2 linked regions of the Struthio camelus genome follow. The protein of the gene in region 2 interacts with the protein of the main gene of each other region in a pairwise test. Links are inferred from orthologs where the notes say so. Each region holds a gene or a part of one and is shown on either strand. Other genes may lie near its edges.

Evidence for each region. The genes of interacting proteins can lie anywhere in the genome.
Region 1: the proteins of SMURF2 (region 2) and SPART interact in a two-hybrid assay, tested with the Homo sapiens proteins (2 studies listed by BioGRID and IntAct). The link is inferred for Struthio camelus from reciprocal best matches to the Homo sapiens genes SMURF2 and SPART.

Annotation. Positions count from the first base shown.
Region 1 is NC_090942.1:196,624,340-196,631,502, forward strand, and holds the start of SPART (spartin), read left to right. Parts: upstream 1-4,097; 5' UTR 4,098-4,177; exon of another isoform or gene 4,178-4,262; intron 4,263-4,266; exon of another isoform or gene 4,267-4,400; intron 4,401-7,163. UniProt on the Homo sapiens protein: Lipophagy receptor that plays an important role in lipid droplet (LD) turnover in motor neurons.
Region 2 is NC_090960.1:4,577,490-4,585,046, reverse strand, and holds the start of SMURF2 (E3 ubiquitin-protein ligase SMURF2), read right to left. Parts: upstream 3,053-7,557; 5' UTR 2,698-3,052; coding exon 2,646-2,697; intron 1-2,645. UniProt on the Homo sapiens protein: E3 ubiquitin-protein ligase which accepts ubiquitin from an E2 ubiquitin-conjugating enzyme in the form of a thioester and then directly transfers the ubiquitin to targeted substrates.

The sequences.
Region 1 (7,163 bases), on a different chromosome or scaffold from region 2:
AGCACTTAATGATTACACTCATGCAATGACTGCTCACACTGAAGGGCAGTGAAAAAAGTCATGTTCAGGATGGCCACAGTTTTACAGTCAAATGTAAGTCACTACTGATACCTGTACCTGTTTCTATATCTTTGAATTGGTAGGCCGCTTCCCTCCCAGGGCCATATTTTTAACCAGTACTTTATTCCATACCCCTCTGGGAGTGTGGAATAGCAGATTTGATCTTCTCAAGGGCAAGTTCTTCTTTTCAGCTGTTTCATGCTGATCTATTGTCTAGGATGTTAGGTGCATTACCTTCACCTGTAGCTCAAATCTAGCAACTTTGAGCACACAATGAAGATGGTCCTCACACCTTAACAGACTGCTAATTTATTCTTAGGTCAATAACAGATCTAATTTTAAAAGGCTGGAATATTACCTTCTGACACATGGTTGTTAGTGCCATTTCCTCACTTTGCTTGAGGACAAATGATCTGCAAATAACTGTGGTGTTTGAATTCATAACAAGATAAACATCACAGATAAGACCTTCTACTCCTCTATGACAAAAGTTTTTATTAGTATGATAAGCTATCTAATATCTTTTTCACAACAGTGATTTACTGTGCTTGTCAGTGTTTAGGGGACTGCTGACTTAAAGCACTGTGTCCACACAGAATGACATCATCAGATAATTAACCGGTTTACAGTCAAAATGGCATTTGGAATAAGTCAACGAAATTTATTTGCATACTGGCGAGTGGTTTTAGAGAATTCCGTATATTTCATTCACAACCTCATAGTCCCCAGGGACTCATGTTTGCTAACTTTTACAATTTAGTTTGGGATCCCTCCAAGGTTTTGAGAGGCAAAGATCTGAACGACATTTTAATTAACTTGCATATATATATATATGTACACACACACACATACATGTTATATATTATATATTGCCTAGCTCGTGTAAAACATTTGCACGTTATTAAAGCAGAAAAAAAAAGCAGAGATTTGAGGAAAAGCCATTCCTGTAAAAGTGCAGACAAAAAAAAGTAAGCCTACAGTGGTCGTTTAGATTGAAATCCCTTGATACAGCTCACCACAGCGTATCTCTTGCAAACAAAGATGAAGATGATGATGGCAAAAGAGATTACCTAGGCCTATTTCTGAAGATGCTGAACTACTGAAAATGCTGAGCGCTCTCTACTGACTGATTTGAATTGTTCTCTTTAGGAAGCATCATTTCAAGTGATCCATATAAACTATTCTCAGAGTGTGCTCTTACAGAAATAAAAGCAATCTATCACCTCATCATTTAAATCTACCCACGACTGACCTGTATTTCAGCAGTCTTTCAGATGATTTATTTAATCTATATCTATATTCTGATTAAACTAGATATTTAAGAATGAACCAAACTGTAGTAGGAGAGCTCTGAGATAAAGAATCATATACTGTTCCCACTCTTACCCAGGCATCCACTTATGGCCACTCTTTTGTTTTAGTGTTTTCTTTTTCTGTTTAAGTATTTATTTCACAGAAAAACTTAGGCTTTAAGAGACCCCTGAAGGTCATTTAGGCCAATCTTCATCTCAAAGCATATGCATCAAGTACATTGAATTGCTCATGGCCTTGCCCAGTTGAGTTATGAATCCCCCCAAGGATGGAGGTTTCACAGCCTCCATGGGCAAATTGTGCCTGTATCTGATCACCTGCGTGGTAAAAAAAAAAAAAACTCCTTATATTCAATTAATAGTTTCCCTTTCTGTAACTGGTGTCCATTGCCTTTTGCTGTGCACCTCTGAGAATAGTCTGGCTTTATCTCTTCCAAATCACCTGCTAAGCAGTTGAAGACAGCTATAACTCTCCCTTAGTCTTTTCTTCTTCTGGCTGAACAAACCCAGCTCTCTTGAGCTCTCCTTTATGTCATGGGCTCCAGCTCCCTGACCATCTATTGGTCTCCACTGGTTTCACTCCAGTTTGTCGACATCCTTCCTCTACTGAGGAGCCCAAAACCGGTCACAATGCTTCAGATGAGCTCTCATACATGATGAGTAAATGCAAATAACTTCTTCCCTTGGCCTGTCAGCCAACCATTCTCCCCAGTGCAGCCCAGCAGGCTGTTAGCCTTCATAGCCCCAAGGGTACACTGCTGATTTATGGTCAGCCTGTAGTTCACAGGGGTCGTTTTCTGTAAGGCTGCTTTCTTCGTCAGCCTCCAGCCTGTATTGACTGTGGAGGGGCAATTCCACATCAGATACAAGACTTCGCATGTACCTTTTTTGAACTTCATGAGGAATTTTGAGGACATGGAATTGCACTGATGGTCAGCTGAAATAGATGGACACTTGATCTGAACCATTACGGCAGCTCCTATGTCCTTAAATGCATATGAACTGCACAACATGATACTACAGGCAGGGCTGGAATCACTCTATCTTTTTGAGGTAAATTCATCCTGCAAATGCATATAAAGTTATCAGTGCTTTCAGCACTGCTTAGAAACAAAGCTGAGTGTCACTTTCCATCATAAAACTGTTTTTTATTTCCTTATAAACCTTGCATATATCCACATAACATAATTCAATGTCATCTACAATTACCTGAGCTCAAGCTACCATCTGTCTAAACCAATGTTTAGGGCCCTCCCCACCAGCTCAAACCACATCTACTATGCTCATTCATCTGCATGCTACATCATACTCTCTAATGAATGTCATCCTCATGTTTATTTGAAGAGAGAAATTGTCTCAGAAGCTGATCTGTGGTAGTCTCATCTCTCTTCCAGGTCACCAGGTAGAGAAAGGGACTGAAGAGCAGGTAAGTCACTAGTCAGGAACACAGAATTCCTAGACAAGTTTTGCTCTAGAAATCGTAAAAAATAACAATTTTCTAGATATACTTCAGAGCTAAACGCAGCTGAGAAACAAATGCATCTTCCAAGACTGTGCTGGGTAGGGCCACCACTAACTAAGCACAAAGTTTACTATCACTTTCCTATGATCTGCGGTTTGGGGTGTGTCAGAGAAAATTGATTCACAATTAGCACAGGCACAGCCAAACAACTAAGAAAAAACGTAAATTAGGTCTATCAGAGCCTTCTGATAAAATATCTATACCGTTCCTGGCACCTAGAATACAACCAAAACAGCTAGCTCAGGTAAAGAACCATGCACAGGGTAATAACACACATATGGCTTCTGTTAGACTTAAATCATGTGGCCTGAAATTTTCTATGTTAAAGTCAGATTCCAGAAGCAAGTAAATAATATATTGCTTGGTTACATTCAAAATTGCTAACAGCTTTTTCACTCTGGTGTCTTCCCGGTCTAAGATAGGTGCTTGAAATTTAGCAGGAACATTTTCCTTTGTTTCTTCCTACCATCAGTGCGCAAGCGCAGCTCCTAACTCCCACAGACAATGCAGTTAGGAAACAGCCTACTTCAGCTTCCCCACGGTCAGAAATGAGCCTCACCTTAAAAAAACACCTCCACTAACATGGCATCTCTCCTAGCAAAGAAGCAAGTCACTTCATGACCGCATGTGAAGTAACAGTCAAAATAAATTTGAAATATGAGGCCTAAAAGGGGAAGATTTTAAAGCTTTGGAATGATTAGGCTTTAGCTTTTTGGGTTTTTTGTTTGTTTGTTTTTATTCCTGTTTTACTACTGGCTGCAATTACAAAACTAGATGCCCTAGTTACAGCACAATACCCTGCTGTTTTTGCCTGTGCCAGTCACGACGCCTGTTCCCAGATGCCATGTTTCAAGTCTGGATTCCCAGCCCTGCTCCCAGGCTGCTCCCTAGAGGCAGGAGAGTGCCCGGCATATCTGCTGGAAAATGCCCTTTTTCCTTATACCGGACTAAGCCGGGGCAGACACAGATCACAGCTAATATTTATTAAACACCCTTTATTAATTAAGCTGCTATTATTAATAGCAGACATGATAAGAGCGCTCCGGGCACCAGCTCCCCTCACAGGGGAAGCATCACGGACACCTCCCGCCTCACCGCCCGGCCGAAACCGCCCCCGCCAGGGGCCGCGGCAACGCCCCTGCCTGGGCGGGGCCAACGCCCAGTCCCGCGCGCACCCCGCAACGGTCGCGCAGTGACGTCACGGCCGCCTGCCCCGCCCCAAGCCAAGAAGCAGCGCGCGCGCGCGGCCGCCTGACGTGGGAGGTGGCGACGGCGGCGCGGCTCGGTGAGCGCGGTCGGGTCAGCGCGGCGGCGAGCGGGCCGCGGTGAGGCGGTTGGGTCGCCTGCGACGCGGCCACTCCGGCGAGGCGGTGCGGCCCGGGCGGGGACCACGGCGGTTGCCCCCAGCCGGCGGCGGGCAGGCGGGCGCGGGGAGGTGCCTGAGGGGCGGTGACGGGCGCTCGGGTAGCACTGCCTCTCGTCCGGGGAAACGTGGGGTCGGCCTGCAGGTATGGGAAGCTGTGTCTTGTATTTCCTGCTTTTAAAAAGATTCGTGTCATACGGGTTGGGCCTGAGTTGTTTGTACCTGCGTATGGAAAATTTGCTGGCCGTGGTTGGGAACTGACAGGTCCACTGCTAATAACAGCGTATTAAATAGCTGTCTTGCATAGCTCTTTAATTTTCTGTGATGTTGACTGAATTTCTGCCCACAGAGTACTAGACTGTGGCAATGTCTTTGTACTTGAGTACTGTGAGGTACTGGGCAGCACAGTTGTGTGATGAAGGGAACTACCTACCTTATTAGTTTTTCCCTTTCCTTTTTAGAGAAGTGCCAGGTCGGCTAGGATTCAGAAGCCTAAAAACTCTGCAATGAGGGGATATCATGAAACTACAGAGCATGGGGTCAGGAAGGAAGCCCATTTATTGGGACAAAATAGGCTTGAGACAGCAGTACCAAGAGGGGAAAAAATAAACATATTGGCTAGGTGAATGTAGGTACTACATTCTTGGTGTAAGAAATTGATATAAATGAACTGTTAAAAGATGGAAGTTGTACGGAAGACATCAATAATTGTAAGAGAAGGAATTACCATGTTAGATGAGATCACCCACTTACTCTTTTGTCCAGTCTTTGTTTTTATCTGGCATTAAGTGCTTAAAAATTAGCTGTAAGCCATCACATAATGATCAATTTCAGGGCTACCTTTAAATGAACTAATTTAAACGGAGAAAAAAACCCTAGTTTTATCAGCTAGAAACTATCTAAGTAGTTTAAATTCTTTATAATGCTTGGTTTAATTCAGTATGTTCTTATTCTCAAAAGATAGTAATATTCTTTTAATTGCTTTTTCCCTAAAGAAATAAGGCTTAAACAATTCTGTCTGCATTGTAGTTCTTGTTCATCTTTGAAATCAGTGGCTGATAGAAAAACAGTTGGCATGTAGGAAGAGGTCTTGGCTTAAGGACATGTAGGAAGAGATCTTAGATGAAGGGGTTTGTTTTGGCTTTTGTTTACTTGTTTTCCTCCCTCTTCCCACCCTCCCCCCCAATTTCAGAAACAGGAAGTTGGAAACATCTTGTCAGTCAGGATATTTAATGCTCTTAATAAGCTTTAGGCTTCGAAGTTACCTTTTGGCAGTGAGGTCCACAATTTAACTGCTTTTAAAACAAAGTAGTTTTTTTTGTGTGTGATGCTTCAGAGGATCAATGGCCAAGTAGTGGAGATATTAGCCTGCAATATCAAGTTGAACCAGAGTTTTCCTGTTGCACTATAGCTTCTCTTGGCAAGTCACTTAGCATCACAGAGTACATCTGTTCTGATAAATGAAAAAGGGCTAGGGAATGAGCGTGAGCACTGGATTGATCTGTGATTATCTATAGTGTCTGTTAGCTCTTTTCTTAGCTCTGTTTTGGACCCGCTTTCTCAAAGACAAATTACTCTAAGTCTTATTTAGTGCTAAGAAGTACAAATCAGGGTAAATCTGTGTATTCAGTCATGGGACCAAAGGTTGGTTTGTTGTTCCCTCTCTTGTTTAGCAATATGCACTTTATCATTTGTTTCAACTGTAAAATGGAAGAAATAAGATGCTATATAGCACATAAATGGTTTATGGATAAATATTAAAGGCAAGGTACTTAAATACTATTTTAATTAAGATCATACATTGAAAATAATAGTGACCAAGGAGCTGGACTGCATATGAACATATTACTCTTTAAATGTTCTGTTTCAGAGAATATTTCTTTGCTCTTGTGTTGAGAGTGTGATCCAGTTGCTTTGTTTACTTTGATATACCATCATTATTTTGAATAACCTTGCTATTTCCAATTATCAGTTTGTCTTGAGATTAGGTACAATTTTCTCGGGAAAGGTGGCTTCCTATCTTATTTAGCGTTTTCATTCCCCTTTAGGCCTATTCTTTTAATAAAAAAAATTAAGAATGAATTGAATTCAGCTCTTTAGGACTTTAGTCATCTCTAGTTAAATTCTAAAGCTTCCTCCATCTCCACCAAAACGCATAGTGTGATGGCAGCTGTGCTATACAGATATCACAAATTCAAGGTGTTTCAAAGAAGAATCAGAAATGAGTGATAACACTCCTACTGTTTAGAATCGCTGAGCCTGCTTATGTATCTTTGCCGTGCTTGGCCATACACTACTGCCATGTATACACTGATCATGCTGACATCTCTGTTTTCTTACAGAACTGTTTTAGTGTTAACAAAGCCTGTGCTTTAGCAAGAACAATGTTGTTGACAGTGCTACAGGCATGCAATGAATAACAAATTAGTTCACCGTTGAAATGTAGCTACGACTTTAATATTTTACTTGATGTCACTTTTTTATACTAATAATTACAAGCAAAAGATATATTTAAAATCTAGATAGTGTCTTGGGCTTAGCCTCACCCAACAAAAATCAAAACACATGGAGCAAAACAGGCTATGGTACTGAATCGTGTTCACACAAGTGAATTGTTTTCTTAAAGCCTTAAGACTCAGTAAGGGACTTGTTGCAGAATTGGCTTCACAGCTACTGAAAGTGTCAAAATAGTGAGTTTTGCTCGAAAAGAAGTAAACATTTTCCTTACCTAAACATTTTCCGTGTCTTGGAAACTTTCAATAATTTTTAAATTGAAGTTCCTCACTGTAAAATTGTTTTTCATTTTTAAATTTTTTTTCTAATGAAAAAAGTGATTTTCATTAACATATACAGGTTTTGACACAAGATGATATGGTTTTAGCCACCCTTGTATTTTTCCTAACAAATG
Region 2 (7,557 bases):
AAGATGGACTGAGAAGTTGGGCACTAGCTCCAGATCAGTTCTTGGACTCACATCAAACATTACCCTGTCATTTATCCAGTCAGTCAAAACAATGTTTTCCATCTAAACCTTTAATGTTTATGTCCTGAAAAACTGCTAATTGAATCCAGCTCTCAAAATCCATTTTTTAATCTATACTATCTAATTTAGAGATAATGAACAGAAAAGATAAGCATTACACAATGATTGCAAAATGAATCCTATAAATACTCAAGCCAAAACAGAAGACTGCTAGTTTTGTAAGGCCAAAGAAAATTACGATTAAATAACATTTGCCAGTTTGAGAATAAACTTTTAAAAACACTGGAATATACAGATTCTTTTAATTCCAAACAGTTTTAGAATTCAAGAGTCTTCACACTGCTTTTCCAATCAAAAAGGGTAATCAAAACCACACAGAGCGCTTAAAACTATTCCTAGGCAAGAACTGACAACATGTCAGTTCAATTAATAAAGTTCAGTTCAGTGCTTATAACAGCTTTCCTTAAACATGTAAAACTTCCTTATAACAAATGACTTTATGTGAAACAACATGCAATTAACCAAAGCACAAAATACCTCAAGCATTTTTAACTTGAGAAATAGGCTGATGTTTCATATAAACTTCCAAAAAACCAGAACTGGTACTCAGCAACTGCAAACAGCTGCTAGAGCTGGAAGAGTCCCTATAAAGGCAATTTTGCCTGCATCCTGTGTTCTGCATATATCCTTCCTAAAATATAAGACGACAAAAAACTCAGAGGCACGTCTTAAGATTGTATCTGCTTCTTTTTGCACTGCACAGCTACGCAGTCTCCTAAAACTCTGTAAGTAAAACTGCTGCTTATTCCTTGCTCACGGTCATAATCCCCCACAACATATTTATATTGTCACAGACAGATGACTATATACTTAGTCCTTAATAAAAATAAAATAAATATAGAACGTGAAATCCAAAGGTGAAAAAGACAACTCCCTAAACAGGTATTTTCCATACTTTCACATGAGGCTCCAGACCATTTTTAATGTTTCAAAAATAAAGCAAGTCTGAGCACTCAGGAAAAAAAAAAGAATTAAGTACTGCATCAGTACAGCAATAGCCTAAAGAGCAAGCTACAAAACACACTGTAAAAACAAGGCAGCACTGTTCCGTGCATCAGTCCCAGCTATGCTTATTTTAAGAGTTTTATTTCTAAGTGGAATATAGAGACACTCACAAATCTCTATGAAAACTAGATTACAAATTTAGGCCAAGTATTTCCAAAGTAAAACATAAGCAGATACATTCATTTTCCCTGTAAAAATAGCATATTTTGAAAAAATAGGAAAACATCTCTTCATTAGACAGTAGCTGGAAATATTTCACGGGCACTTAAAAGTAAATATACCAACCCTTCCAGCTTTGTTTTTTTTTTTTTTTTAGTGCTGATTGGATATTTTTTGCCAGCAGAACCACTATCCTGGTAAAACACACTATTTGAAGGCAACAGTATTAGTAATATTAGCTACTATTTTCTAGTCTCTTGCCTTCATGCACTAAGAATTAGAACACAAAGTATGTGTTTTGTGCTGGTGTGGGTTTACAAAATTTTTCATCAACTCTTTTCTTTCAAAAGGGAAAGAAACACATTTTTTTTGTCAGGAAAGCTCTAGCAACGCTCCCCAGAGTTTCTCCTCTAAACCTATTTGCCTGGGTTCTTACTGTTTAAAAAAAAAAAAAACAAACCACATACTTCAAGGACTTAGAAATAACTTATTTCCCTTCCCAGCACGCAGGTGAAGAGTTTCTGACGGTATCTAAAAAACACGAGGGGTCAAGCGATCTCCTGAAAGCGGGCTGGCAGCGTCAGGCATGAGGGCAAACCAACTGGGTACGACTTGAACTGAGGAAGTCGGCTGGGGGGGGGGGGGGACACAAACAAAGAGATCAAAACAAAGAGTGTGACAGTTTCTTTCAAGTTTACACTGGGAAGAAGGCCGGGGGTTGGGGGGAAACACGGGGGTTGGGGTGGTAGGGGAGCTGAGGAACAGGGTAAGGGAGGCAGCGCCGAGGAGCTCACACCGGCCGGCTCCCCCCGCGCCGAGGAGGGCGGCGGCGGCGGGGCCGGGAGGGGAGGGCGGCAGCGGCCGGCTGCCCCTCACCGCCAGCCTGGGCGCCGCCGCCGCGGGGCACGGACATTTTCCTCACGACGACCCCCCCCCCTCCCCTCTATGGCGGGGAGACGATGGGCGGCGAGGGAAGAGTTCACCCCTCCACACACACACACACAGAGACAAGAGGCCTGAAAGGCTGCTCCGGCCCCAGGTTCAATCTCAAATACACACGGAGGCGGCTCGCCCCCGCCCGCCCCCCTCCAGCTGGGCTCGGCGCGCGGAAAGGCTCCGTGGGCGCCTCTGCCCGCGGACGGCGGGCTTCCCCTCCCCTCCCGCCCCGCGGCGCGGCGCGCAACGGCCGCCTCGCCTCGCCCCCCGAACCCCTGCTCGCTTCCTCTCGGCTCTTCCCTCACGAACTCGCCCCCTTCCCGCCGCCGGACCGTTGGCGGAGGCCAAAGGCGGAGAAGGCGGGGGGGGGGAGGGGGGCAGGCAATGGCAGCCCCCGCCCGCCCCGCCGCCGCGCTCGCCCTCACCTGTCAGTCGCAGCTTGACGGGCCCGTTTCTCCGGGCCCCTTGGTTGGACATGTCCCCGGCTGCTCCTCGGGCTCGGCGCTGCCTGGCCCGGGGCTCCCCCTGCCTCTAGGTCCGGGAAGGGAGACGGGGCGGGCAGGGGGGAGGGGACGCGCTAATGGAGTCGGGCCGGGCGCTCAGGGAAGCAGCAGCAACAGCAGCAGCAGCAACAGCGGCGGCGGCCGCCGGAGGAGGAGGCGGAGGAGGAGAAGCCCGGATGTGCCCAGCGTCGCCATGAGCGGGGCCGAGGAGGAGGAGGAGGCGGAGATGCCGCCGCCTCGCCTCCCCGCCCCCTAGCCCGGAGCCCGGCGGCCAGCACAACAAAGCCGGCGACGGAGCCGCACGGCGGGCGGCCGCCTCCCTTCTCCTCCCCTCTCCCTCGCTTCCCACAGGGTGTTTCCCCCCCCCCCTGCCCGGGCAGTGGGGCGCGGGGAGGTGCCCACGGCCGTGGCGTGGAGACAGGGGAGCGGAGCTCCGTAACGAAGCGGGGTGTCCGTGTGGGGTTTTTTTGTTTGTTTGTTTGTTTTTGGAGAGCTGAGGGGACTGAGAAAGCCGAAGGGGTCAAGGCCGTCGGGGCGGGCGGGCGAAGGCACGCCGAGAGGTTGGGTGGCGCGGCTGAGCACCTCTGATGCTGGGTGATGGTTTGCGTTGAGTGAGGTCTGGCAAGCTGGTGGTGGAAACCACTCAACTTTGGGCTAGTTCGCTGGTGGCCAGCGCTCTGTAGGGACGAGCAGCCAAGTCTGGCAAAGGACCGTCCCGGAGAAGGGAAAAGCTGCCTTGTATCCGCGCTGCCTGGCCTAATTTTGCTCCCGTCGGTGACTCTTTCAGGGACTTCCAGGCTTTGCAGGAAAGCGAGGGCGGCGAGAGACGCAGCACCGGCAGGCAGCTTTCAGGGGGGCCTGTGGAGGACATGGGGCCTCCCAGACGAGCCCTGAAGGTTGCCACAGTCACCTTCACGTTAGAAGATGACTAGCACCTCTTCTTACTCATAACCTTACTAATGGTTTATTATGCTTTGCACACAAATCATGCGGTTGTGTCATTGCACGGGCAGCCTGTAACGTATTATCGCACGGGTAGTCATAGATCAGGATCCATCCTATGGATGAGGATTCAAACGTGGGATGAAAACGTGACCCATGCTTCATTGAATTTATAACGTAGCTTCTACCTAACACAGGTAAAGTCACCCAGAAGGCAGAACTGAACCATAAGCATACCTGGAGGTGTCCCATCCGGACGGAGGTCAGTGCTTGGGCTGTATTAAGTCAAACCGGGGTCCACTGAAGGCCTCGGAAGTGGGATGCGGTGCTCAGAGCGCTGGGTTGTGCAGACTCGCATCTCCTTCCTTCCACAGCATGTCTCAAGCAGCAGGAGGAAGTTTTCAGTGCTTCCTGTTGCAGTGGCGCCACTGCTGCAGTGTTAATTCACCTGGGAGTGGAGGAGTCCTGGGATCGAGCCCTTTCTTCATACAGAGCTATTTCTTTCCTGTGCAATGCCTGTTAATCACAACATTAGCAAGTGTTAGTAATGGACCTTTCTTTACAGAATAGACAAAGCATAAGAGAAAATGCACTGATTCATTGCTTAGCCATTTTTTCAAGCAAAGAACATTTAAAACTAGTCAAGTCTAATCTTCATTAATTTCACAGCACAGATGTAATTTATATGCTGTACTGAAACAGTTAAAAAGTTATTTCTTAGTTATGTAAATACAGACACACCACAAAGACGTTCCAGGTGTCCTGATTCCTGCATTAAAAAATAAATAAATAAAACCAGCCTTAATGATGTAAGGCCATATTAAATTTTCAATCTGTTGCGAATTCATACAGCCAGGTTATTAGCCTTTTGTAAAACTAACTGCATAAAGCAAATGGCAGCTGGTTTGCAAATATTGCAACATTACCTGGCCACTGCTGAACAGAATAGAAAAACAAAATATAAAGCCACTTTTCACATGCTTCACATATTTCTAGGCTACAGTAGATTTTTCTAACATGTAATGACCCCATTTAGGTCAGGACTGTGTCCTCTCTCCACTAACATGAGGAGAAATGACCTAGACCAGGTTGCACTTGGACAGACAAACGTACCAGGTGCAAAATACAGTCTTTTTTCCTTCTGGCTTTGTAAAAACATTACTATAAATGTACCCTGGGTGTTCTACGGATGTTTCTGTCCCATCATATCTCACTATTCTATAGAGAAATCAGTATTTCTATTCGCTGTTCCCCTTCACTGAGTAAAATTGCCAGACAGTGAGGAATCTGTGCAAAAACTGCATTGAGCAGCGGTCAGGAAGCATTGCGAAGTGCCAAGAACTGCAGGGAATGCGGGAGACCAAAAATATTGACAGTACCTGATGACTGAAAGTGCTACTTTTCCAATAAAAGAATTTCACACAGATTTCATGATCCAGGGAGTTTCTTGTGCCAGTGCTATCCCCCAAGTTCTCAAAATACTCTGAGATTAAGGTAATAGATATCTCACTGATCCTGCTTTGGGTTTTATAAGCCAAGCATTTACAGTAAAGTTTGTCTTTGTGCATTACCATTTCAAGGGTGAAAAGAGGTTTCACTCCATAGTGCTGATCTTGTGAGGTAAGCAGGGAAATATCATCATTAACTGCTGACAAGTGATCCGTGTTTCACTCTGGGCTGATATCATTGAGCAACAAATCCTTTCAAGATGAGGTAGCTAGCTGAGATCCGGAGGGAAGGGAGTGCCTTGCATCACCCCACAGCTCACTTTTGGATGACAGCCTCACTGCTGGACTCGGGAGGGAGTTCCACCGAGTCGTCTGCAGCCAGAAGTTAGCGACTGAGACACAGTCTCAAGGGTTGCAGGAAATTATATATGAAGGGGGTAAGCTCAACCATCTTTAGGACCCCAGCGGGGCTGCAGAAGGCTCCACAAGGACAAAATAATTTAGTGGTTGGTATTATGTTAGTAAAACTTTTGGGAAAAAAAAAAAGTGGAACTACAAAAACTTCTTTTGTTCCATGACTGCACAAAAAAGGGCTTTGATTCTTGAATTTCCCAATAGGCAGAAAAAGAAGGCTTTGCATTCAGATATTTCTCGAAGGATTTAGAGGTTTTGGACACTGGAAAATGTGAACAAATGTCTTTAACCAAATAGTACTCATTTTCAGAAGAGGATATTTGTAGTTAATTTTTCTGAGGTAAGGTCCTCTCCATCTTTAGAAATAGAAGAATATACTGGAAACTCATTCCTCAGCATGTGGTATGTGTTCAAAGCACATCAACATGTAAGAATTACATTCCATTTCTTTCTGTATGGAGGTTTAATCACACCACATTCCTTTAGCAGTAATGAGAGCTGGCTGGTGCTATACCACATTCTTCCCTAGCTTCTGTGATGATATCAGGAAAGCAGGAGAGTCCTGACCCTATTGTTAAGCTTTTGTGAGTAAATTGAAAGGCTAAAATAGTATTTTCCTCAATTTTAAAAAATAAGTAAACTTACAATTGTCAGTGTTGTATTTCTTCCTACTAGTCTTTCTTTACCTGGTGCGATTTAGAAATGCCACCACTAGAGATCATGGCATTAAAACCAGAGTTAATCAGAAGAAAATTAAACTTCTATTCCCTTTTCTCTATGATGTATTTCCATTGTATGTGCAACCGTTAATGCTAAATGGCTACTTCTGCCACCTAACAGTCTAGTTCTGAGAGGAAAAGCATTGTAGCAATATACACCTAGATGACCCCGTTAGGATTTAAATTTGTCAGGTCCCATTTGATTTGAAGATAAATAAAATTGAAATATTTATGCAAGTCCCTGATCTCATTCTTATAATGTCAATGTTTTTCTTTTTCAGTAAAGTTCTGTCCAAGTTGGCAAAAAAAGAAAAACAAGTATGAATTATATGAATTGATTAACATTTATACCATCAGCGTTTCCTGTTCATTTCTTATTTTACCTGATTAACTAATTCACTTTCAAAGCATTCCTGTGTACCTCTATGCAAGACATCATTAAAAAAGAGTCTTTCTGTTTCCTGACTTCATACTGTGTTCTACACTAGCATGTTCTCTCTGTCCCAAGCCAATTTCCATGACAAACAGCAAGGATCTTCAAAGCAGGGACTTTCTCTTATCATGTTAATACAGTGCCTAATGCCAAGTAAGCCATACCTGAGTTGATGTCCCAATGCGCTACTCAGTAAAATCTAGTCATTAATAATGATAAACTTACAACATCAAGCTCAGATTCCAACATTTTATGAAAACTGGAATCTGGAGAAACTATTTCTCAAAAGAGCAATGGCCATAGCGAGGTGTTTCCTTTAAAGATAGGCAAAATACTAACTGTGCTGAAATACTCAGCAAGAGATCAGCGAGCAAAAGCAACTGGACCGTGGCCGCTACAAGCCCTGTGAGAGTCACACAAGTAAAAGATGATGAGCTTGGAGCAAGACCCTGTATTGCTTCACTGTCTGAAAGATAATGAAACAAAAGGTGCCTTGATTTTGGTGTCCTTACTCAGCTTGAAGAATCTTTTTATGCCTCACTAATTTCCACAGCTCATGACTTCCAGATGCCACCTAGAATGCTGTTCTCTTGTGAGCTCTCTCAGTCTTGACCTACTCCATCAACATCTTTGACTGTTAAGGGCACCACTCTCCTAGCCTGTCTCTTTGGTGCGGGTTTTTCTTTTAATCCTTCTTTAATCCTTTCATAACTTCTTGCTACAGCAAAGGCACTTCCTAAATTCATGCAGATCCATCACGTTTTTGTCCTGTCCCTGAACAGAAGAACTTTGTCCTCTAGGAGGTTCTTTTTGTTATCTTCCCTGCTGCTACTCTGTACAAAAGCATCAAACTCATCTCTACTGAAGTCACATATGAA